Lepisosteus oculatus: one gene and its partners. The protein of the gene in region 2 interacts with the protein of the main gene of each other region in a biochemical or structural test. Links are inferred from orthologs where the notes say so. Each region holds a gene or a part of one and is shown on either strand. Other genes may lie near its edges. The genes, in order: synj1, sh3gl2a and dnm2a.

Region 1 (8,022 bases), on a different chromosome or scaffold from region 2:
AAATCAAGATTTTTCCATGTTTTGCAAATTACAGCAAGTCAACTGAAATTGCTGAAGCTTCGATAACTCATTAAAACTACAAATAGTATTAATATAAGTAACCGCGGCTTTTTTGTATATAAAATACTCTATGTATTTTTCCTAAATTGTATAAAAAATATCGGTTTTGGCTTCACGTCATCGCGAATTAAGATTTTAATTGTATCCTTTAAATATTTTGATTTAAACACTTTTAATCCACATTCTGATTTAAAATACATTTGTACATTTAAATACATATCTGACAGCAGTAGCCCAGAATCTGCCTATTTGTGTGATCAATATGCAGTGGAAAGAGTGCATTCAGAAGATGGTTGCACACTTTTATATTCAAACTGTGTTACAGTGTTAGATCTATAGCCAGATACTTGAATTGAACCAAGACACACCAAGAGTAAAACATTTGTTGCTGTATTTTGGTTAAAGGTGTCAACTACTATTGTATTTCTTCAAATAATGTGTACAGTAGTGACAATGTTTTGCACTGGATTTTTTTCAGTAAAATATCTCGAGACATTTTGCATGAGTACCTTAATGTACCTCTTACATTGTTTTGAAGGTTCTGTAGCTGATATAATGCAGTTTCTATATGCAAATAATAATTTTAAGCAAAATCAGTCAATTTATGAAACATGTCTTATCACGAAAGTCACTATTGTGTCTGAAACAATTGTGGCTAGCAAACCTCCTTAGCTCTCAACAGTGAATCAGAGAGAAAATAAAGAGCATAGTGTACAATGTGTAATCAGAAAAACTCTATACTATGCTAAAGCTATTTAATGTTGCTAAGCTTTATCTTGGCTCAGCTAGAGATGTGTTGTCAATTTCTTCCTTGATAAACACCTTTGTGAAATATGACTTTAACTAATTCCATATATTAGCCAGGTTACTTTTCTTGGAAGACAGTGTAACATACTGTAGTGGGTCAGTTTCTGGACTGGTGGGTTAAAGTCCCTGAGGCGTACTTTTTGCAGGGTACTTTAACCTGATTGCTCCAGGCCACCCAGCTGCTCTCTGGTGAACTGGCTTTCTGTCCACTGGGGGCTGGAGTCATGTGCTCTCTATTTGCTTAATGTCATGAAAATCGTGATTAGCTCTGGGCTGATGGTCCTTTGCAGTTTCAACATGGAACTACCAATGTTATCTCACTCTTCCTGAGGCATCCTGCTTCATCCTTTACTGTTCATCTGCTGTTGTTATCCTGAAAAATACATTATATTAACGCTTTATTCTATTCTGTCTCTTGCTCAACCATCCTACTAACCTAGTTTTACCTATTTTGCAATTCAGTGCACTCCTTTTCTCTAACTGAATAAATATTTTTTTTTCAATTATGTTATATATTGCTCCCTTTCTCATTATATACTATTGGTCTTCGATTTTCCTATTCTTAGGTAGAATCTGTTTTATGTTTCAAGAAAAATATCTTTAAAGTGCCCTCTAGTAACGGGGCTTCTGTCTTGACATCTTTTCACAGCTCACAAAACAGTCAGGAAGCCAGACTTCACAGAAGGCCACAATCAGTATCCCTCCACTTGCACTTGAAGGGGAACTGTAGTCCTAATTTCTCAGGCCGGTTATTAAACCTCAATTATAAAATAAATTAATTGATAGTATGGCAAAATTGAAGATATTCCGAATTAAACACAAAATTGTGAACTATGAAAGTACTGTCACTATTTTTGTAGAGAGTTCATGAGAATTGTGAACCGGCTCTTCCTGCTCTCTAGTCACTCTAATGACTAATGTACAGTAATGCGATGCATGAGTGAATAAGTACAGGTTGTGCAGCAGACATTTCACCTGAGAAATGTTCTAACGTGATCTGTATGCAGAGTTAATAAATAATTAGTATTTGACTGCGAAACTGTCTCAAAGTGGAGAGCAATATTTCTGCTGGATTAAAAGTAATGTACCTGTATTCACAAATCTGCTTGTTTACAATGTAATAGAACCGCTTCACTTCACTGGATGTTTTGCTGGCTTGTTCTGAATCACAGAATATGGTGCTGCACATACCTGGAAATGTAGTCTATTTTGTGATGTAAAAAGGGGGTTTTACATGTTACTATGTACATTTTACATTCATTGTGATTTGAAATGCACTTATCAATTCTGATTCTTTCAAACACCGAAATACACACATAGCATTGAGTTTCCCCTTTAATTTCATGTTCTGACTGTATATGTTGACCAGGTAAATCAGAGCTTTGATCATGATGCATTTTTTATCCAATCTGAAGTGTACCAGCACATGCACCAAGAATCATGACTCTTCTAATGCCATAAAAACCTTATTTTCCAAGGCACAGCACACTGGGGAAATCTGCATATACAGTACTGTACTTCCTGCAAAAGAACAGAAAATGCTTGTATGTCTCCTACTTTCTCCTAAATTGTCATATGGGTAATAATTAAATAACATTATGAATTAGAAAAGATCCCTTTGTAAATACTCTAGTTCATTTCTGCTTTATTCACATAATTAATCCCAAAAAGAATTGCTTAAAATAATCTCTAAATTACTGAAAGTAACTGTAATCGTATTATTGTCAAAAAAGTGTAAGAGATGACCTTTACCCGGATTTTGAGCTCTTATTACAATTAAAACAGTAACTGGTAACCCATTGCCTTCCAACACTGCTTTGAATGCAAGAAACAACTTTATAAACACCTTTATACAGTACATTTAGCAAATCAGCCAAACAAAATGAAGGGCAGTAATTTTGACCTTATAAACCTTAACAGAGGTTTTGGACTTTTCCAGGACTTTTTCCAACAGTAAACAGAAACTGGATAGCACAATGTAAAACGTAAGAATGTATTTTGGAGTAAGAACGAGAGCTGCCTCTTAACTCAAAAGAACAGGATACACATCTTTACACAAAGGTGTGTGTACAGTTTCGAGCCACATTGCTTATGCTGTTACCCAGCCTTACTTCAGGAGCAACTTGCCAAACTGTAACTACTACAGTAGGTCTACCCCTGCTCTGAATAGCCTGTCCACATATTGTAGGTCTTGATTCCTGGCTAACAACCAGCTGTAAACCAAACCTCTTCCAAACACACTTCAGATGTGTGTACCTTACTGACTGACTCCCAAAGTACTTGTTCTGGAGGGTAATGAGTGGCCAATATATTCTAGTGCCCTGGTAACCTCCCTTTTCTCTCTGACCTGTCAGCACGTACTGTAGTCCACCAGTCAGGACCTGTCTTCACTTAAGTCCTCCTGCCTGTGATTTAAAAGACACCATAACTATGAGTGGCTTCAGTGATGCAGATTATTACATCATACTAATTGATAAAAATTTAAAGCACTTTTTCATAAGATCAACTATGAAACTGTAACAGGAAGTTGTTTGGCACAGTAGGCGGATGTATTAGCTTAATCACGCAGGCTAGTGTGCCACTATACGGAATCGTCCCATTGTTGTTTTCAGACATAAACCAATTTAATAGCAGATTCAGTTTTGGTTTATTCTTTACACGAGTCTATCGTACTAGACAACCACCTGTGACACCATCATCTGACTGGAAGGGACCTGCAAGCACGTCACAACTGACAGACAGTTTAGCGGAAACGTAGAAACACTACAGGAAGTACTCCAGTGGGTTTGTGGGAAATGTAGTTCGCGTTTGGTAATACAACATCTTAAGGCATCTAGAAGTATACCGAGTAGTTTTCTGGCCACGGCTCTCTAAAGTTCATATTAACCTGGGTGCCCACACAGGCAATGTATAATAACATATAATGGGTGCTATTAGTAATAATTAAGACAGAGTTACATACCCATTTTCAATAACTGCTTAGTTTCCAGCGTTCCCAGGTCCTAAGGCGCTACTGTGAGGCAAAAAAACTGAAGTAAGAACATAAGATTAAAAAGGAGAGGGTGGTATTTGACTTGTCCAGCTCTTTAGGACTCTCTTAGCTATTTGAACTCTGCACTCAGGCGCGTCATGAAGGAAACATGAGTTTAAAATTTCAGCTTAAACAACATAGCTGGGTAAGTTCTTCTATACTTCCACAACCTTTGAAATTTTCTCCTTTTATCAACTTTAAATGCACATTTCAATGTAGTCAAGCAGGATTTGGTGACCTGAATATTTTTTCACCCAGCTTTTGTTTATTAATTGAAGAATGAGAAAATATACTAGTTATATCTGATTATTTACAGAGCAAAAACATAATGTTTCCAAGAAGGACAAAATATCAGTCCTCCACCCCCGAGGCCTAGTACACAGTGAGTCTGCAATATGTGCAAACATAAAATATAAAAAAACTAGCTGTATTATGATTAAAGATATCAGTTTTAGTTTGCACGTGTGTTTAATCTTTAATGACAGTTTTCGAAACTGGGCTCTCACTCTATCAGATTATCTTGAAAACCCTGATTCTTACAAAGCAAGCGCATTCCTTAAAAAATCTTTCTTTCAAAAGTTTTATTGAACATCAAATTATGCAAAAGAGAAAGGGTATCCAAAAATATAAGTGAACAAAAAACGCAGAACAAAGGTATAAATTTGAGCACAATAACTTAAATTTCTTGCATCAGTTACAACAGATTTGTTTATATATATATATTTCAAGTTTTTAATGGAAGTAATACTGCATTTCCACCTCATAAGCATTAAAAGGGGAATTAGACCCCTTATTAGCATAAGTCTTAGCGTTAGACCATTTTGTTCTATGAGCGTTCCTCACAAACCTGGGATGCCCGTGTGTGCCGGGTTATACGGTTACGCAGGCGGAACCGTGCGCTGCGGACGTTTGACGTCGCCTATTGGCAGTGGGAGGGCAGGGACTCTGTGGTCTCGGAGATCAGAGGCTGGTAAATCCGGCGGAGACAGCAGTGGGACGGTGAGGAGATTTGAAAATATCATTATATGAAATACCTGTAAATCGTTTTCTGCGATACAGACCATTTTCGCTGGCCTGCGCGATTAACACCCGTGCGTGTCTTTGCGTGACAGATGGCCTTTCACTAAAGAGCGTACTGGGCTTAGTGAGGAGGCGAAATGCACTAAAATACTTCATAACAGGATACTGTAGAAGCAAAATGAAGCCGGAAGACAAGACGGTGTTATAAATCAAAGAGATGCGTGAAAATATGTGGTTTCAGTGATTGCCATAAGTTAGAGTTAGGAAATGTCATTTTAATATTGGTAAACCAGTTTGAACGTCAGCATTTTAATCTTTGTGTTTGATTTTATACATATCAGTATACGCAGCTATTTATGTTGTCAGAGCAGCAGGACCTGGAGTCCCATTGTAATTTCGTATATTGTATAGCCGCCAGCCATTCATTATCATATTGGGTTTATGCTCAAGGGTGGTGTCTTCTGGCCTGTATCACGCAAAGGGCCTGAATTGATTTTGCGTGATTAGAATGAAACGCCAGTCTGCGATTTTTTTGTTTACCTAACTGAAGGTTAATCGGTGCGAGTTCAAATCACCCAAACACAGCAGTGGAGCAAGATTACTGTGCGCGTATCCTATGTAACTGCAAGGGGGCGAACTGTATATGATTTCCTGCTGTCAGATTTGTTAGAACTGGTGGTGTGGTAAGTGACAGTTCCTGCAACGCGCGATTGACACATTCTAGTCAATTCAATGCTGTTGGCCTGAGAGTCATGGCTTTCAAAGGTAGTAGCTGGAGGCCGGTGCAAATGTATTTATTTAATTTTAGGGATGTCCAGACTACCATGTTTCATCTGTCCTGGAAATTGGGGATATTTAAACAGTCCTAGCTGCTTCTTTTAACATCAAGTTAACAGATACCCAACCTGGCAGATTTCCAGTATTGGATATGACAGTAATACGTCTGAAGCACAACACCGTGATTGAAATATAGACACTATGATGGCAATAATATAGACAATAATGGCACTTTGAGCTGAAGCACTTGAGAGTTAAGCCTTATCTCCAAGGCAGCTTGCTAGAGTCTCATCCATCCACCGTTCGCCATCCATTTTCTAACTGTTTGATCCAATTCTGGGTCATGGGGGAGCTGGAGCCTGTACCGGCAACACTGGGCACAAGGCAGGGTACACCCTGGACACACACATACACAACAGGGCCATTTTTCCTGCGTGCCGATTAATGTACCAGTGTGTTTTTCAACTGGGAGGAAACCAGAACACCTGGCAGGTGTTCTAACATGCTAACACGAGAAAAACAAACTCCACACACATAGCACCCTGGTCTGGAACTGAATCCAGGGCCCTGTGCTGTGAGGCAGCAGTCCTCACCAATTCACCACCATGTTGTCCACTGGAGTCTCATATGAGTTAAAAAATATAAGAGGTTGTAAATAAGACAAGATCACTTGACTCATAGCTCAGTGGTGCGAAGGTTTCATCTAACTGTTTCTTGTAGAAAACTAGTGTATTAGCTTTAGAAACATACAGTAGCTACTCAGCTTGTGCCATACTCCCACAATTCTCTGTGTAAAGGATCACTTCCAGTTCTCAGTTTTTAAGTGCACTGCCCTGCAGTTTCCACACGTGTCCTTACTTTGTTTTTCTGTTGATACTGAAAAAAATCCATTGATCTTGAAAAGCATGAGGCAGGTCCCCTAGAAGATCTTTCTGTTCCAACCTAAAAAGATTCAGTTCTTTTTTTTATTTTATTAGAGCAGACAGCAAGGGGACCTGATGCTAGTGTTTAAAAAGGCAGTCTACAACTCCATGAGGCTGAATCGTGGGTGTTTTCTCTCTGGATCATCAGAAGCTGCAACCCTGTGTTTTGGCGATGATGAATCAAGGGTTCATCCTTCTGCTAATGATGGATATGCTCACCTCCAGAGAGCCCAAGGAGAAAAAAGTGCCCACTGCAACACTGCTCAGTGGGTTTCTTCCAAAGGCAACTGGCTCATAGCGTAGGAGGTGGACTGTGTTGGAGTTTAGCAGGGTCCTGGAGAGATTTTAGCAGATAGGGCTTCAGCTCTTTGGCTCTGTCTGGGACACTGGTGTGATCGTTAGTCACACTAGATTATATTATCTTACCTGCCAGGCTAGCCATGGGTTTCTGCAGGCTGGAGATTGTAGGGAAGTCTACAACGATGGAGGGGCAGGCTTGTGTGAACTCGTAGGTATCGCATCAGGGCTGCAACCTTGCATGCAAATTATAGTTTACAGTTTCATTTTACAGTTTACAAGTTGCAATTCCAGTCACACTTGCAGATTAAGATGGAAGACTTTAGACATTGTCTACCTTCCAGGCTGCATGAAGTATTGGGGCTAGTATTAGTTGATCCTGAATTTCACATCAAGTCTTTAGAGATTGATAGTTGATAGTGTTTTGATTGGGCAGTGCTGTCTGATGTGAAATGAATGCATTGGTTCAAGCGAGGACAAATGATTGTTTCCCAGGAAAAATATTTGATTGGCCACTTGTTAGAGACAAAATACAAAAACTGAAAAACTGATTTTTCAGAATCAGACTGCATTTTTTAAAATAAGGCCATTGTAAAAAATTATGTTCTTTGAATAATTTACATTTCCTTATACTTTATTGGAAATCTATTCATTTGGCAACTTTGATTGCATTTATTTTTAGAGAACAGAGTTTTATTTTTGTGGACATTTCCCTTGCAAATGAAGGACCATTTCCAGTTGGCATCTGACAGGCGTAAGGTTATAAATCATACAAAAATGAAAAAAGTGTTTTTGCAAAACATCAGAATCAAGAGTAATTAATAGTCTGCCTTATGTTACTTTTATCGCATTTGTATTGCATATTTTTATAAATCTTGGGTTCAGTTTGAAGTGGGACCTGAAACCTGCAATCGTAAATATTGACCAGATTTGTACGTCTGGACATTAGTTTTTTGAGAAAATCTGATTGCGTTCGTCTTGGATTGAGGCTTGAGAAATTGAAGGTTTCTCTTTTCTGCTCTTTCAGGTGTGTTTTAATATCTTAAAAAGAGAAGAAGAAAAAGATGGCCTTCAGCAAAGGATATCGCATTTATCACAAACTGGACC
Region 2 (8,064 bases):
TTCGCTCCTCATTGAGGCAGCTCCTGAGCCCAGCCCATCACCATCGCTAGATCCCCTTCCTCCGCTGATCTCTGATATCCCAGCTCCCCCTGAAATCCCTGCCTCTCCCCCCTCACTAATGCAGACCCAGAGCCTGGCCTGCCCCTGTCATCAGCACCATGCCCTCCTCTGCCCCCTCCCCCTGAAGAAGATCAGGAGAGATGGTGTGGGAGGGGTTGCTTCACAGCCTTATGGAGGAAACTGTTCAGCAGAAGGAAACCTAGGGAGCAGAGTCTTAGTGAATTACCGTAGTAAACCAAGGGCATTACTTTACATTCTGTTAAATAGCAATATTATTTGTATATTTGTTTCTCTGTGTTAAAGTCTTAACTTTTCCTTTATCATTGTTTTTAGGTATTTTGAAGGACAATTCTGAGGCATTTTCTCAACAACATACTAGAATAGTCTAGAGCACACTAGAAGCTCTTAATTTATTTGCTTTCTTCTGTATTTTTTTTGTAGATGAGGACTTGCGTAATAAAAGAATAAATATGTTTCAGTATAATTGTTTTTCTTAAAGGAGGAACTTGATAATTCCTATAAAAATAGAATACCAACAACATGAGCATTCTTTCCACTTGATGTTTTTGAGAGTTTTCAAAACATGGTGGAATTTCACCCATTTATTAAGGTAATACTGGACTTCTGAACAAACTGAAACTTGGTCTTGGATTACTTCAAAATAAGAATGCTCAATTAATTTACAGTACAATTCGTGTAAATTAATAATACAAGAAGTGTAAAGCTATAAAATGCTCAATTAAAAACATAGTGAGTTATTACACATGTAGTATAAATAAGACCTTCACAGACCAGTATATACTGAGAGACATTAAAACTCATATACTGTCTCTGCTAATAAAAAATAAGAGTCCTGCTTTGGTGTATAACAGTGTGTTCTAGTTTTTATTTTCTACATCTGTCTAAATCTCTTTTTTTCTCTGAGCTAGATAACAGAACTAAAAGTAATCCATCCAATCGGGGGCATAGTAGAGTAACCCTGCATGGTCAGACATTTAGTGAAGCTACAGTATGTAGCATGTTGTTTTCACTATGGGAATGAACCAGTACCAAGTAGAACATGTACACTCCACACAGAAGGACATCTTGTCAGAACTGAAACCAGAACTGAGGAAGTTCGATGTAGTAGCACTAATCATCATATTACCATGTTTCTGAGTACTACTGTAAATAGTTTGCTTTTTAGTATGTAAAACATTACAGCTCTCCTGTGTAAATCATGCATGAAAACAGTTTGGCCATGAACTGTTGCTAGCAATCACGAATGATAAGTTTTATCAGCCACCCCATCAGATGTGCAGGTTCCTAGAAAACATTAATTGGAGTGTTGTGTTGAGATTGTTGTTGATCAAGTGTTGTGACATTCAGAAAAACTTTTTTAGGTGAACGGTTTCATCTGAAGCCCTTTAAGGGGAACTGCAAGGCTATTTTTATATTTCGGGATTAGAAAGAATCAGCTAAACGTTTTAAAGGATTGTTATTTTATATTTCTTCTAATTGATTCATCAGAGCTCTCCAAGTTGGTCAGTACTGCATTGCACGAGCAGAGCTGCCTCCAGAAACTTACCTGCTGGAAACCACTGGAAGAAGAGAGATGATAGCAGGGTCACACTTAGCAAGAACACTCCGCTAACACCATTTTAGCAGGGAAGAATTGTCTCCCAACAAAAGCACAAAAGAACCTCAATATCGAAGTCTAATGGATATAACCAGATATTTTAATAAATAAATTATAGGAATCTAGACAAAAAACAAGGAATCATGATAAATGTAAATAAAAACAAAATGTGTCAATGTCAAAAATTAAACTTTTTTACAGAATGGGATATGACCTGCTCTTACTTACCCTATATGAATTTTCTTGACCAATTAGAAACTAGAGCAGTACATTTCAAGAGTGCCTTGGTCAGCCTTGATAAAAATGGCTGATTGTTCATTCAGTGATTACAAAAATAGTAATAATATCAGGGATAAAACACACTGATGCTAACATTTGTTAGCCTAAGTTAAAATCATTCATGTTTTCAAAGACAAGTAGATAGTGAAGTTACTTTGTCAAATGTGTTTGGAATAAATTCTTAAAACTACTAATGTGAACATGGAATTTTTACTCATCTGGTGAGGCTTGTCAATGTATCTTGTAAAGAGGTTTTTAAAATCCTACTGATAGACAAAACTGGGCTCAGTTCAATGTAGCTATGTTCAATCTCTTTCCTGTGGTGCAGGGAAATAGTGTTACTTAGCTTTGTGCTCAGCATTGCTCCTCTAGGAAAAAGTATCCACCTAATGTCACGCTGAGCTTAGCTTTCTAACAGTTCGTGCTCAAGGTCTGTCTCTGTTCCAGTTGAATGATTCAGATTGGCTAGCTGTTCACAAAATTTCCCTTGAATTAAAGTTAATTTTCTTGACTTGGACAATAGCATTCACGTAACTTTTTCTTTTTGAATTAAAAGAGGAGCAAGAAAGAGACAAAGTGAATGAAGTTCTTGGCATTACAATACCTTAAAGTGAGTAGTGATGGGTTGTGATGTCACCAGGTCCAGTTTTCTCATTGATAGGTCATCTTTTGGATGACTAACTGGTCTCCACTTCAGGCTTCAACTCAGATAAGTCACACCCCTGGTGTTCCAGATTGAAAGGAGCCATGATGGCTTGATGGTCAAAATGGACCCATAGTTTGTTTTAGAGTCAGGACATCCTGGTTATCAGAGAGGCGTACCTCAACATGGACTCCTAATGTCTAGAATCGGTGAGGGAGACTGCCAGAGGTTTTCAAAGCAACAGAAAGATTTCTACTAATCTTTTCTAAAACCTACTGTAATAATATGCCCCACTGTTTTATCCCTACGTATGAAACCATAGCTTGCAGTGCTGACACAAAGACCTCATCAGCCTCTGGACAGACTGCTGTGAGATGTTCTGCCATTGATCCTTTGGGCAGTTGACCAGCTAACAAATGGCCAGTTGCTCTTATTTACTACCGATAGCATTCACCTTAGTCCCACATATTCCATTGTATTCAGAGCAGACAAATCTGGCCATGTCAAGAAGTAGACAGTGGTTTCTTAAAGTCATTCCATTGTAACCTAGCACTGTGTGGTTTTCCATCGTTCTGCTGGAAAGTCAGGATTCTGGATGGGCTTATCTGTCTCAAGGACTTTTTAAATGTACAGCTAAGCAGTCAGATAGCTCTGAATCTGCAGGAGCCTGGATTCTAGGATCCCCAAAGGTGTTTATTCAAGTTAACTTAATGGAATTTTTCAGCATCAGCACAAGCCAGAAGACACAGGTGGAAAATACAGAGAGTTGCACTGGAATGTGACAACAGGAAGCTTTCTTAAAGTATTATATACAGCCATGGTGTCAAAGCATAGCATCTTTCCAAAATCAGGTGATGATATTAGATCTGTTAGCTACTGTAACAATTATGAAAAGGGCTAGAATGGCTGAGTAGGTTCCCCTTGTTTGTAACTGTTCTTAGTTCTGAAACTGGGATAATTGATGCTCTTCCGCCAGCAGCCATATCACCCTACAGCTCACAACTGGCAACCCACTGAAGCTAAGCAGGTGTGAGCCTGGTCAGTACCTGAATGGGAGACCTCCTGGGAAAAACTAAGGTTGCTGCTGGAAGATGTGTTAGTGGGGCCAGCATGGGGTGCTCACCCTGTGGTCTATGTGGGTTCTCATGCCCCAGTATAGTGACGGGGTCACTGTACTGTAAAAAGGTGCATTAATTTGGATGAGATGGAAAACTGAGGTCCTGACTCTCTGTGGTCAGTAAAAACCCTGGGCATTTCTCAAAAAGAGTAGGGGTGTAACCCTGGCGTCCTGGCCAAAGTTTCCCATTGGCCCTTACCAATCATGGCCTCCTAATAATCCCCATCTATGAATTGGCTTCATTTCTCTGTTCTCCTCCCCACTGGTAGCTGATGTGTGGTGAGCGTTCTGGTGCACTATGGCTGCAGTCACATCATCCAGGTGGATGCTGCACATTGGTGGTGGTGGAGGGGAGTCCCCATTACCTGTAAAGCGCTTGGAGTGGAATGTCCAGAAAAGCACTATATAAGTGTAAGCAATTATTATTATAAATGGGACAGTGGTTCCCAGAGATACAGGCTGCACTGGCACATATTAAAATATTCACACCTATACTAACCCTATACTAAATATTAATTCTAATGTAACATGGTTCTGGAGGGTTGCATGCTATCGGGTTTATAGGTTACTTCTAATCATTAGTGAGTAAAGGCATGTAAAAGTGGTAATACAGATAAATAATTTAACACTCGATTGCAATACATTGAGTTATTAAGAGCCAATAAGAGTCTGGAGTAATGAAAACCAGGGGACTGAAAATCCAGAATTAGATGGGTAGAATAACCTCTTTTCGTTTATAAACATTATTAACTTCTTATTTGGAAGAAGTTATTAAAGGAGGGAGATAGATATATTTTTATTTCAAAGAGGACACCTTGAATAGGTCTCGTTCAGAAATTACATTCGTTTTATATGATTTTTTTACACACGCGTTATTAATTTTCTTTTCTTCTGGTGCTCTTCATATCATTCGATGGTTATGTAATGCATAACGGTGTCAAGCTTCTTTTGAGCCTTTGCTTAAGCACATATCGTGTATTGTCTAAGGTAATTGCCGTAGTATTTTTAGTTGTTTGTAGTTGCTGTTTCCGCTGTGCCTTTAAGAGGTTGGTTATGGAGCAAGGTGACGTCACTGGCAGGTCACATTAAGAGTGACATTCAATAACCTGATCATAGCATTAGTCAGTCCCCGAGTCTGGAGATCCCGAGGAATTGAGCGCTTCAGCAAGGTCTGAACTGAGCATCTTGAACACTCTGCGACAAGAGCAAGAGTAGAAATCAGAAAACAAAGAACAGCAAACCGCTACATCTGAAAATGTCTGTGGCAGGACTGAAGAAGCAATTCCACAAAGCCACCCAGGTAAGTCTTCCTGTTGTTTATCCTTGGAATCGCAGAGGATGCAATGTTGTGCATTCCTGCAGGACGTGGGAATGCAGTAAGTGTTCTGTTTTGATGGAACACCGAGGAGACCCATTTTGACTCCTTGCTTGTTTTGGTTGCTTGGGTTTATAAATATATTTCTAATTTCCTATTGCACTAAGTCGTGTCTGCAATATATAATGTAGGGCACGTATTTAGACATGAAACCAAAAATTATATATAAAGAGAGCAGCTTTTATACGGCGAATCTGTGCGTTTTCTTCGGTAGCTCAAGGTTTCGAGTCTCAGATTCCATAGTGCTGGGTTATAACTGCAAATGTCTTTCGACAATTCCATTCACATTAGGTTCAGTTTACAAATGTGCTCCATCCCTTGATTTTTTTATCCCTTTTATTTTCCCTCTTTAAATAACATTATTGACTGTAGATGTTATTTAAAGTGTTAAATGTTAAATAAATAACATTATTGACTGTAGATGTAAACATTATTGACATTTTCTAAATATTGTGCATTCAGTACTGAAATATGGTTTTAGTTTTGGTAATGTGAAAATATAAAACATGAAAGAGAAATATAATAGTTTCGGTGCAATGTCATTGGTTTTCACCGAATAAAGATGAATATGCGGGAGACTACCCTTCAGACTGCATTTTTAAGCAGCAAAAATACACCCCCAACACTGAAATATCGTTTCCACTGTGATCAAGAAAAGCACAGACGCTTGTTATTTTATGGTCAAGCAGAATATTGGCTTATTATTATTTCGGTTTAATTCCAATATTTTGCCTTGTATACAACATTTTCTACTGATTTTTCTCCGTACACCAGCTGGTTTGTTATTTATAATAAGTATTGATGACTTATGTAAATAAAACAGTTTCACTGCCTTTCACTTTCACCTTAGCTTGAATTCACTGCTCTAGGTTTCAAAACTGTGCTTTGTGAAGATGACCTTTTGTTGGTCTTTGCTGCGTGAGTACATAATACAAGATGCTGTTGCTGTCCCAACTGAACATTGTTTTAGACATCATGAAACTGGTGCTATTTTATAACAGTACAACCGCGGGGTTTGGATTCCTGGGTTTTAAGTGCAGGTATTAACAAAGAGAAAACAACCACTGTCCTGTGAAAATGTATCCAAGCGTCCCATAACAAAAACTTCAGTAGCGTTATGTGGGTTAAAATAGAACTACAGTATGAGTCAGCGTCAGAGGTAATACAGTATTAGTAAAAAAATAAATGTGCATGATGTACAGTAACTGTTTTTGGTGCGTTCTTGTGTGCGCTGGGATATGCTATTTTGAAACTATCGTGATTGTATTTATTTAATTTTGTTCAAAGAAGTATCACAACATCACAACTGACTGTAACTGCGTTGTATAGCGTTACTGAAGCTGGGAACACAACCTCTTGAAATAGGAATTACAGCACAATGCATAGAAAATAATAAAACATCAACTGAAGAGCAGGGCAATATGACTAACAAAAGAGAAGTGACTACATTTTAGGAATTCACAGTAAAAACACTCATTTAAATACAGATGCTTTATATTAGATATCAAGGAGGGTTCTGTTCAGTATGAATTTTTGCTTAAACTCTTAGGGGAAAATCAACCACAAAAAACCTTTCGGTAGCAAACTGTCATCTTTCCCAATACAACAAAACAATCTGATGTTCAAAGCATAATGCTGACAGGTGATCATATTGAGGTTGTATTAATAAAAAAAAAGATAAAATTCCTCCTGTAAAAAACCTATAGAACTATAGCCCAGTACGGTGATCAAGGACACTACAGTTAGCTGTAGGAGATGCCATCCTTCATTGACATTGGTCTGTAAAGATCCCGTGGTACAGCTAGTAAAAACAGGGGTGTTAGCCCTGATTTCCTGACTAGTTTCCATTCTAAGTTTGGATAATGGGCCCTACCTGATAACACCTCAATTTCACACAGCATCCCCAGACTTGCTGTGTAGGGAATGCTGTTGCAGAATGGCTGCCACACTTCTAACTGGTGGGTGCTGCACTTCAGCAGTGAATGGAATCCTTCAGGATGAAAAGTATTGTACACCTGCAAACAATTGTTATTGTTATTGTACTCTTCATACAGTAGACATTATTATTAATAATAATGTTTTTCATTGAAGGGTGGCACAATGGCACAACAGTTAGCATCAATCCAGGGTTAAATCTAGGTCTGTGGTGCTAGATGTGCAGAGTTTGTTTGTTCTCCCCATGTTTTCTTCAGGTGCTCAGTTTCCTCTCACAGTCCAAAGACAAATTGGTAGCTTGACAGGCTTCTGGGAAAACTGGCCGTGGTGTGAGTGTGTGCGTGTACAGTATATGTGTGTGCCCTATGATAGACATCCAGGGTGTTTCCTGTGTTGGACCCGTTGCTTGCTGGGATAGGATCAGCTTTCTTTGTGACCCATTACTGAATCAAGTGGCTAGAAAATGGATGGATGGATTTACAGTGCCTTGCGAAAGTATTCGGCCCCCTTGAACTTTTCAACCTTTTGCCACATTTCAGGCTTCAAACATAAAGATATACATTTTTTATTTTATGTGAAGAATCACCAACAAGTGGGACACAATTGTGAAGTGGAACGAAATCTATTGGATTTTTGAAACTTTTTTAACTAATAAAAAAATGAAAAGTGGGGCGTGCAAAATTATTCGGCCCCCTTGCGTTAATACTTTGTAGAGCCACCTTTTGCTGCGATTACAGCTGCAAGTCGCTTGGGGTATGTCTCTATCAGTTTTGCACATCGAGAGACTGAAATTCTTGCCCATTCTTCCTTGCAAAACAGCTCGAGCTCAGTGAGGTTGGATGGAGAGCGTTTGTGAACAGCAGTTTTCAGCTCTTTCCACAGATTCTCGATTGGATTCAGGTCTGGACTTTGACTTGGCCATTCAAACACCTGGATACGTTTATTTGTGAACCATTCCTTTGTAGATTTTGCTGTATGTTTGGGATCATTGTCTTGTTGGAAGATAAATCTCCGTCCCAGTTTCAGGTCTTTTGCAG
Region 3 (7,380 bases), on a different chromosome or scaffold from region 2:
CAATGTGCAACATCCCCTGGATGATGCGACGGCAGCCATAGTGCGCCAGAACACTCACCACACATCAGCTATCAGTGGGGAGAAGAGCAGAGAGTAATGAAGCCAACTCATAGATGGGGATTATTAGGAGGCCATGATTGGTAAGGCCCAATGGGAAATTTGGCCAGGATGCCGGGGTTACACCCCTACTCTTTTCAAGAAATGCCCTGCGATTTTTAATGACCACAGAGAGTCAGGACCTCAGTTTTACACGTCATCCGAAGGACGGCGCCTGTTATCAGTATAGTGTCCCCATCACTACACTGGGGGATTAGCACCCACATGGACGGCAGGGTGAGCGCCCCCTGCTGGCCCCACTAACACCTCTTCCAGCTGCAACCTTAGTTTTTCCCAGGAGGTCTCCCATCCAGGTACTGACCAGGCTCACACCTGATTAGCTTCTGTGGGTTGCCAGTTGTGTGTTGCAGAGTGATATGGCTGCTTAAGAATAAAGAAGGCATACTTCATAATCCCAGTACATTGTGAGGACAGGATGGTACAGATATTCAGTATTTTAGAGTCAGGCACCAGTTTACAAAACCTTCAAGTCCACTTCTAGCTGCAGACAAAGAATGCAAACACCCCAGGTTAGGACCAGGGACTCATTTCCATAGCTCATCTTACACCCTTCTGAACATATAAAGCCCTTTACAAGATGTATTTTTTGAGATTTCACTGTCTAGCTAGACTTTTGAAAACAGAATACAGGCAACAGGCACACCACATTGTCCATTCAAACTCACTGCATTTAAATGTGAGCTCTTTACACAAAGGGTTGTGAGAGTATGGAACAAGCTCCCTGGCCATGATGTTGAAGCCGATACTCTGGCTTCTTTGGATAAATGGCTGGCCACGTCCCTGGGATCAATTAAGTACCAACTACCAAACGTCATTTGGCGGAATGGGTCAAACAGCCTCCTCTAATTACTAACCTTCCTCCCATCCAAAACAAAACTCCTTGACCACAATTTTCTAAAATGAAGTCCAACAGTATGCAGGTGCACCCAAGAAGTTACAACATATGCATATACAACATTCTCCACTTGGAAACAGTTAAGATGAAATCAGACAAAAATATAATTTTGGCTAAAAAAAACACATTTTTAAAGCTCTGTAGGATATAGCCCGTGTTGTGGTCAAATAAGCACTGCTTATTCACTGTGACCGATTATATAGGACAATTACGTGGTTGTGTTGGGATGTCCACTGTTATACATAAACACAAACTGAAGAATGTTGGCTGTACCTCTTTTTGATACATAATAAGGCTCTGTGACATAAATACTGGAGCCAATTTGTGACAGCAGAAGCTGCCCAATTAGGATTTTCTTTTAAATACTGTACATCAAAATTTGCTTTGAACTCACAGTAAGAAATATGAACCAACAATTGAGTTTAGGTCACTAGCCAAGATCAGGGTAGTGCAGCCTTTCTTAAGGAAACTCCTGAAGGAAATTCAAATTTCAAGGTGAGGGATAAACAGAAAGCTTCAAAAACTCTTTTGTCACAGGTGCGACAGGTGTCACAGGTTCTACAAGGAGAAAATATCCATTGGAATGGTAGCAGGACCACGTTAAAAAAAAACCTGTCAACTGCATTTTTTTTAACTGGTGCAACCAGTTCCGAATCTAAAAACGACTATTTTACATATAAAGGAGAATTTGGTCGAGTAGATGTGTCTGACTTTGGTGATATACCAGTAAATGTTAATTCCACGCTAAAAAAAACAAGAGGTGTCACACCTGAAGAAGGCACAAAAGCCCAAACTGCGTTTCTCTTTTCTATTTTTCGAGGTGGAATTTACCTTTACTTCTTCCTTTGAAGCTACCAGTTCGATAGTTACAATCGCTTATTTTAGCCATCAGCAATCATACCGTCTACACGTCTGGCAATCAGCTAGTTCTCATATAGTGGCATTTTATAAATATGAATATTGTAAAATATGTATACTTTGCGTATGACCATAATTAATTAGGAAGTTTATCAAAATGTATTTCATACTGACAGTAAAGGTGGGTTACTGTTTTCAATAATAAAAAACGTGAAGGGTGTATCGGAAAAGACAGCTTATATTTTATAAAACCGTTTCAGCAACGTAAGGGATAAGAGACTCGAACGAACAAAGCCGACTTTAAAACAACACCTTGATGTTAATAGCTTTTGAATAAAGAAAAGCATTTTGACGGACTCGACAAGTATTTCGACAGACAACATTCTTGCTTTTTGAAAGTGTTCGAAATAAAAAAACAGCCGTCCAACTCGAAGTCATTCATTATTGCAGAACTACGATAGTCACTTCTCGGTAAATCGCAAACATTTTAGCATTTATAAGTTTAATTTCTAGCATATGTGCCGGTTCTGTGTTTGCTACATATTAAAGGTTATTTTAAAATGCCGGTATCCGGGACAACAAAGGAGACAGAATCAGGGATCCGGATCCCCTGGGGACAGAGCAGCTGGGCGGCTGAGGTGAAAAGAAAATTTGTTAGTTTAAAAAAAATAATACAAAAATAACTCATGACTGGGGAAAAAACTTTTAGAAGGACGAGTATTTGTGTGTCCTTCCACTAGTAATTACGTCATGGTGTAACAGATTTCCGCACTTTTTCCCCAGCGTAACTCCTCGGACAACCCTTTCTTCTCCTCCCAGCCCCAGTCCGCACAGCTCCGCACACTCTGCGAGATACGGCAGTAGCGTAATTTACGCTGTCTCACTGGCAATACCCTCGCTTCCACCTGCAGCCTGGCGATAGGTTCGCAAACGCTGTTTGTGAATGTCACTTGCTCCTAAACGGGAAACGGACACCTTTTTTCAAACAAGGAAATCGCTCCGCCGAGCCGCCAGATTCTGGTTGGAATTGAAATGGAAACGGGCTTTTTAAAAAACGGCTTACCTGCCGACAAAGTTTTCCAGGACTGAACTTTTGCCAGCGCTCTGCCCGCCGACCACGGCGATCTGCGGCAAGTCGAGGTTGCAGCTTTGCCCGATGGAACTGAAAGCGTCCTGAAGTTTATTAATCAGGGGAATGAGCTCCTCCATCCCCCGGTTCCCCATGGCTGCGCACTCGGGTTCTCACTTATTTGGTAAAAAAAAAAGCTCTGTATGTTCACACCAACTCTGGTAACGGGGATCAAAAATAATTCAACCAGTCAGCCGTAAATGGCAGCGCAAACATACACACGGAGAACTCCAACAGACAGAAACAAAACTTCTCTCATCCGGTCAGCCGACACCCCAACCTCCGCTGCTGATAGAGACCACGCCTCCTGTCAAGCAAAAGGAGCAAAACCACTGGCGAATTTGCATGCCCGTCTTCTCGAAGTGGCCGGCGATTGGTGGATAGTTTATTTCCTCGTCTTGTAAGTAAGGGCGTGGTCTTAAATTTCGGGCGGTGCTGTTGTAAAAAGCATCGCTATTGGCCATCTGGAACGTCAATCATTTTAGCCTTTGACTGTTTCTTCTACCCCAGGAATACAGCCAAGATTTCAGTACGATGAGTGTTTGCGTTAGAAGCTACACACAACCTTTCTAAATTTATTTTCTAAATTTACCTTTCTAAACCGATCTGTTGCCCCAGAAAGAATAAGAGGCTATATTTCGTTAATTATTTTACACTAGAAGCCTCGCTTCTGTTTTATAAATTATAAAAACATACTCGTCGATGGGAAATATAAAACTGATGCGTTTAATACTTAATTTAATCTATTGAGCCCTTCACCATGACCATCAGCTGTAAATTAAGAGTTTATATTCTTTTGTACCTGATACACACTTTTCAACAAATAACCCACCGAGCAACTGTGTTGTTAAAAAAATATTTTTAGGTAGAATGTGCCTTTAGTCAAAGCGACCAGAGGAACGCCGGACCTGCGTCATTTCTAAATTACTGGCAAGCCAATATACTTGATTATTTTCATAACATGTTTTTGCTCATAGTGGTGAATGACATTTAACAGGGGCAGCATTGCGCAGTGGTTAGTAGTGGGGCTCTGACTGAGTTCAGTTCCTGACTTGGGTTGCTGTCTGTGTTGAGTTTATATGTTCTTCCTTCGTTCACGTGGGTTTCCTTTGGGTGCTCTGGTTTCCTCCCACAGTCCGAAAACGTGCTGACAGGTTAATTGGCGTTTGGGAAAACTTGCACTGGTGTGGGAGCCTGTATCTGTGTATGCCCAGTGATGGACTGGCGTCCCCTTTGGTGTATCCGCTATTGCGCCTGTTGCTTACTGGGTTAGAGTCCGTCGTTCTCAGCAAGCTCGATAAAACGTTTAGAAAATGAAGGATGAACTTTTATCAGAGGCCACTTGACGCAACCTCACTTCAGTTTAACCAGATAAACCACTTGAAAACGAATTCTCGCTTACTGTGATGACATGGTCATTATCAATTTGCTCGGTTTGACGCTGGAGTAGCCTGAGTGATGCGACTTGCTTAAGGGTACAAGCAGCGTTTCAGCTAAAATTATCGAGAACACCTTTTTTAAACCCTGCAGCAGTTTTAAAAAAATTATAGAAGTTGATTCTATAAAAAGTCTTCAAAATCAACAGGGAAACACGAACCAGAGTACACCAAGGGAAACTTACTGTAGGTGAAGTGCTTTTAACACAGAAAAAGTGGCACTCATATGCACAAAGAGTAGTGGGAGCCTAGAACAATCTTACCAGCCAGGATGCTGAAGCCAATACTCTTGCTTTTTGTCAATCAACGACACCAAGACATCCCCTGCTTAATTAACTGCAATAATCCAAATGAGTCTCTCATGACTTTTCTTACTTCTAACGGTTTTGGTCTTTGGATCTCAGAGACTGTTTCTGTCTCTGAACGTTTTTGCCAGTTCCAACTTCAACGGCACGTTTTCTGTTTATCATACGAGGTCCCAAAATAACAAAGGAGGTCTTGAGCTTGTGTAGATTTCACATATTTAACTCTGTATTTTTTCTCCCAAAGCTATCTCATTGAGAGCCACATGGTGGGGCAGTTTCAGTATGACTGTGCACAACGCTGACGAACCCAGCCAACAGAGCGCGCTTAACCATTACATACTACAGCTTTACACTACAACTAAGGGAAATCATTATGCGAAGCGCATTTCCAGTAGCGCGACATCATTTTAATTTTTGTAAAATATCAATACCGAATAAACTTCAGAGAGGGTTTAGTAAATTTAATCTTGTATTCATGGCTCACTCGAGAAACATCAAAAAATAAATGAGAAAACGGGATATATAAAAAACATCTTAAACTGTTTCATAATTCAGATCTGATCGATGCTCTTCGGTTAAATATGCTTATTGAAAACCAAGATTAAATATCAGGCCCTTTCTACATAAAACCAGTATATAACTACTTCAATATTGATCTCAACTCTTTTTGCTGAGACAATCTTAAACACCGTAGTGCCTTTATAAACAAAAGCAGGAGGCACATTTTACACAAAGGATGGTGGGAGACAGGAACTCCTTTCAACCTTTCAGCAGAGCTGCCTTGAGTCACCTGCATTGCACAGCCTCCTAGGACACCCTGTGATCTATCCTAGCATTTTTAGAAAAAGGCTGAACAAAGAAACTGTGAGCCATCACCTTCAGGGACACATGGGAAAACTTCAGTAGACACCCATCCATCTGTTTTTTTAATTAGTTTATGAACTTCAAGGTCACGGGCACTGGGGGAGCTAGAGACTCTCCGGACAAGCTAGGCAGGATACACCCTTTATGGGACACCAGTCAATTGAAGGTCTGACACACAATCATAAACAGACACACACACACGCACACCAGGGCCAATTTTCCCACAAGGTAACTAACCCATCAGATTGTCTTTGGACTGTGGGAGGAATCGGAAGCACCCTGAAGAAACCCCCACAAACTAAAATGAGGAGAGCATCCAAACTCCACACAGATAGCACTGCAGGAATTGAACGCAGGGCCACTGCACTGCAAGGCAGCAATGCTAACCAGTGTTCCACTGTGCCACCCCTTCAGTAAACATGTCAAGCTCAAATGTTAACAGGAGGCACCTACCTGCCCGGGCAAATCTTGGAGTGATAGTGTTAGCGCCTGTTTACCCAGACCTAATCGCCCTCGGTGCTGTAAAACACAGGTTCTTGGTAGAGACGTCTCCATGCGGCCTTAAGATATAACTATCTGCTCGTGCCCTTGACCTTTGTTTGATTGCACTTGTGCTCAAAATTCTTCCAAGAGGAGAACTTCCCAGTGCTGGTCCTGGGTACCCTGGTATCTGCAGGCGTTCTCTCAGGCTCTTCATTGTTTTAGCTTTTTCTTGAATGATTCATTTGACCTGTGGGATGGGTTTCAGGCCATAAACTGTCGGAGATTTCATTTTGACTATTGTACTTTATAATGTAACACAAAAACTGCACATTTTAAACAATTGGCAATGGTGTCAAGTACAATTGAGTAAATTCAGTTCAATCAAGGAATTAATTAAAATAACTGAGAACTGAGCTGGAATGATGTTGGGATTTTCAGGACCAGAGTTGAGTATTCCTTTCCTGTCTGCTGGGTTTTCTGGGTTTTCTGGTCCTTGCTCACTAAGTTAACTAATTGAACCCATTAAGTAGACTGTGTTACAACTCCATAATGTATCTGAAATTGAGCGGTCCCCAGGTGATTCCTTACTTAGTGTATTATGCAGAGCTGCAAGGCACACAATATGTATTCTCAATATGTATTCCTTAAGGAATACCAGTGTTCCATGTTTTCATAGGAAGCCCAGTGATTTGTCTTCTACTTTTCATTTGCAAGAAAGTCACGTAATCTGTAATATCCTGATGTCTTTTTTAATGACTATCATCATGTCATTGACTATTCGCTTTTTATTTATAGTCTAAGCTGTCATGTTTCATTTCCTAATTGTCTTCTAATGTGACTCTTGCGGTCTTTGATAATTTTTTAATTCAACATGCCATCGTTTTGGAATTTTTCGGTTCACCTTACCATTTGTAATATCGATTTATCATCCGATTTGCCTCTAGATGTTTTTTTTTTTAATGTCTGTGTCTTGTATTTTGTTCATTGTGTTGTAACCAGGGACTCCAGATGTAAATTCGCTTTTAGGCTTACTGTGGTGCAGCTTAAGAACTGTGCACTGTCCCTCTTCAATAAAATAAAGCTCTGTTTAACCCTGGCAGATAACCCTGAATGAAACTAATGATTTTATTCTCAATTTGACACTTTTCCTAAATCCCAGTTTCTAAAATTGTTATAAAGGTACTGTAATTTAACTCTTGCAATCTATCTTTTGAATAACTTCTGAATTAGGGAGATTAGTGGTTGAGTTCAAGATGCTTGGAAGGAAGGGTAAATTCAGCTACCAGTAGGCAT

The links.
Region 1: the proteins of sh3gl2a (region 2) and synj1 form a complex in vitro, tested with the Homo sapiens proteins (2 studies listed by BioGRID and IntAct, with this or other methods). The link is inferred for Lepisosteus oculatus from reciprocal best matches to the Homo sapiens genes SH3GL2 and SYNJ1.
Region 3: the proteins of sh3gl2a (region 2) and dnm2a interact in a biophysical measurement, tested with the Homo sapiens proteins (2 studies listed by BioGRID and IntAct, with this or other methods). The link is inferred for Lepisosteus oculatus from reciprocal best matches to the Homo sapiens genes SH3GL2 and DNM2.

The regions. Positions count from the first base shown.
Region 1 is NC_090700.1:19,989,689-19,997,710, reverse strand, and holds the start of synj1 (synaptojanin-1), read left to right. Parts: upstream 1-4,814; 5' UTR 4,815-4,897; intron 4,898-7,942; 5' UTR 7,943-7,979; coding exon 7,980-8,022. UniProt on the Homo sapiens protein: Phosphatase that acts on various phosphoinositides, including phosphatidylinositol 4-phosphate, phosphatidylinositol (4,5)-bisphosphate and phosphatidylinositol (3,4,5)-trisphosphate. Has a role in clathrin-mediated endocytosis.
Region 2 is NC_090696.1:58,813,252-58,821,315, forward strand, and holds the start of sh3gl2a (SH3 domain containing GRB2 like 2a, endophilin A1), read left to right. Parts: upstream 1-4,809; 5' UTR 4,810-4,972; coding exon 4,973-5,017; intron 5,018-8,064. UniProt on the Homo sapiens protein: Implicated in synaptic vesicle endocytosis. May recruit other proteins to membranes with high curvature. Required for BDNF-dependent dendrite outgrowth.
Region 3 is NC_090706.1:19,999,337-20,006,716, forward strand, and holds the start of dnm2a (dynamin-2), read right to left. Parts: upstream 3,274-7,380; 5' UTR 3,095-3,273; coding exon 2,934-3,094; intron 1-2,933. UniProt on the Homo sapiens protein: Catalyzes the hydrolysis of GTP and utilizes this energy to mediate vesicle scission at plasma membrane during endocytosis and filament remodeling at many actin structures during organization of the actin cytoskeleton.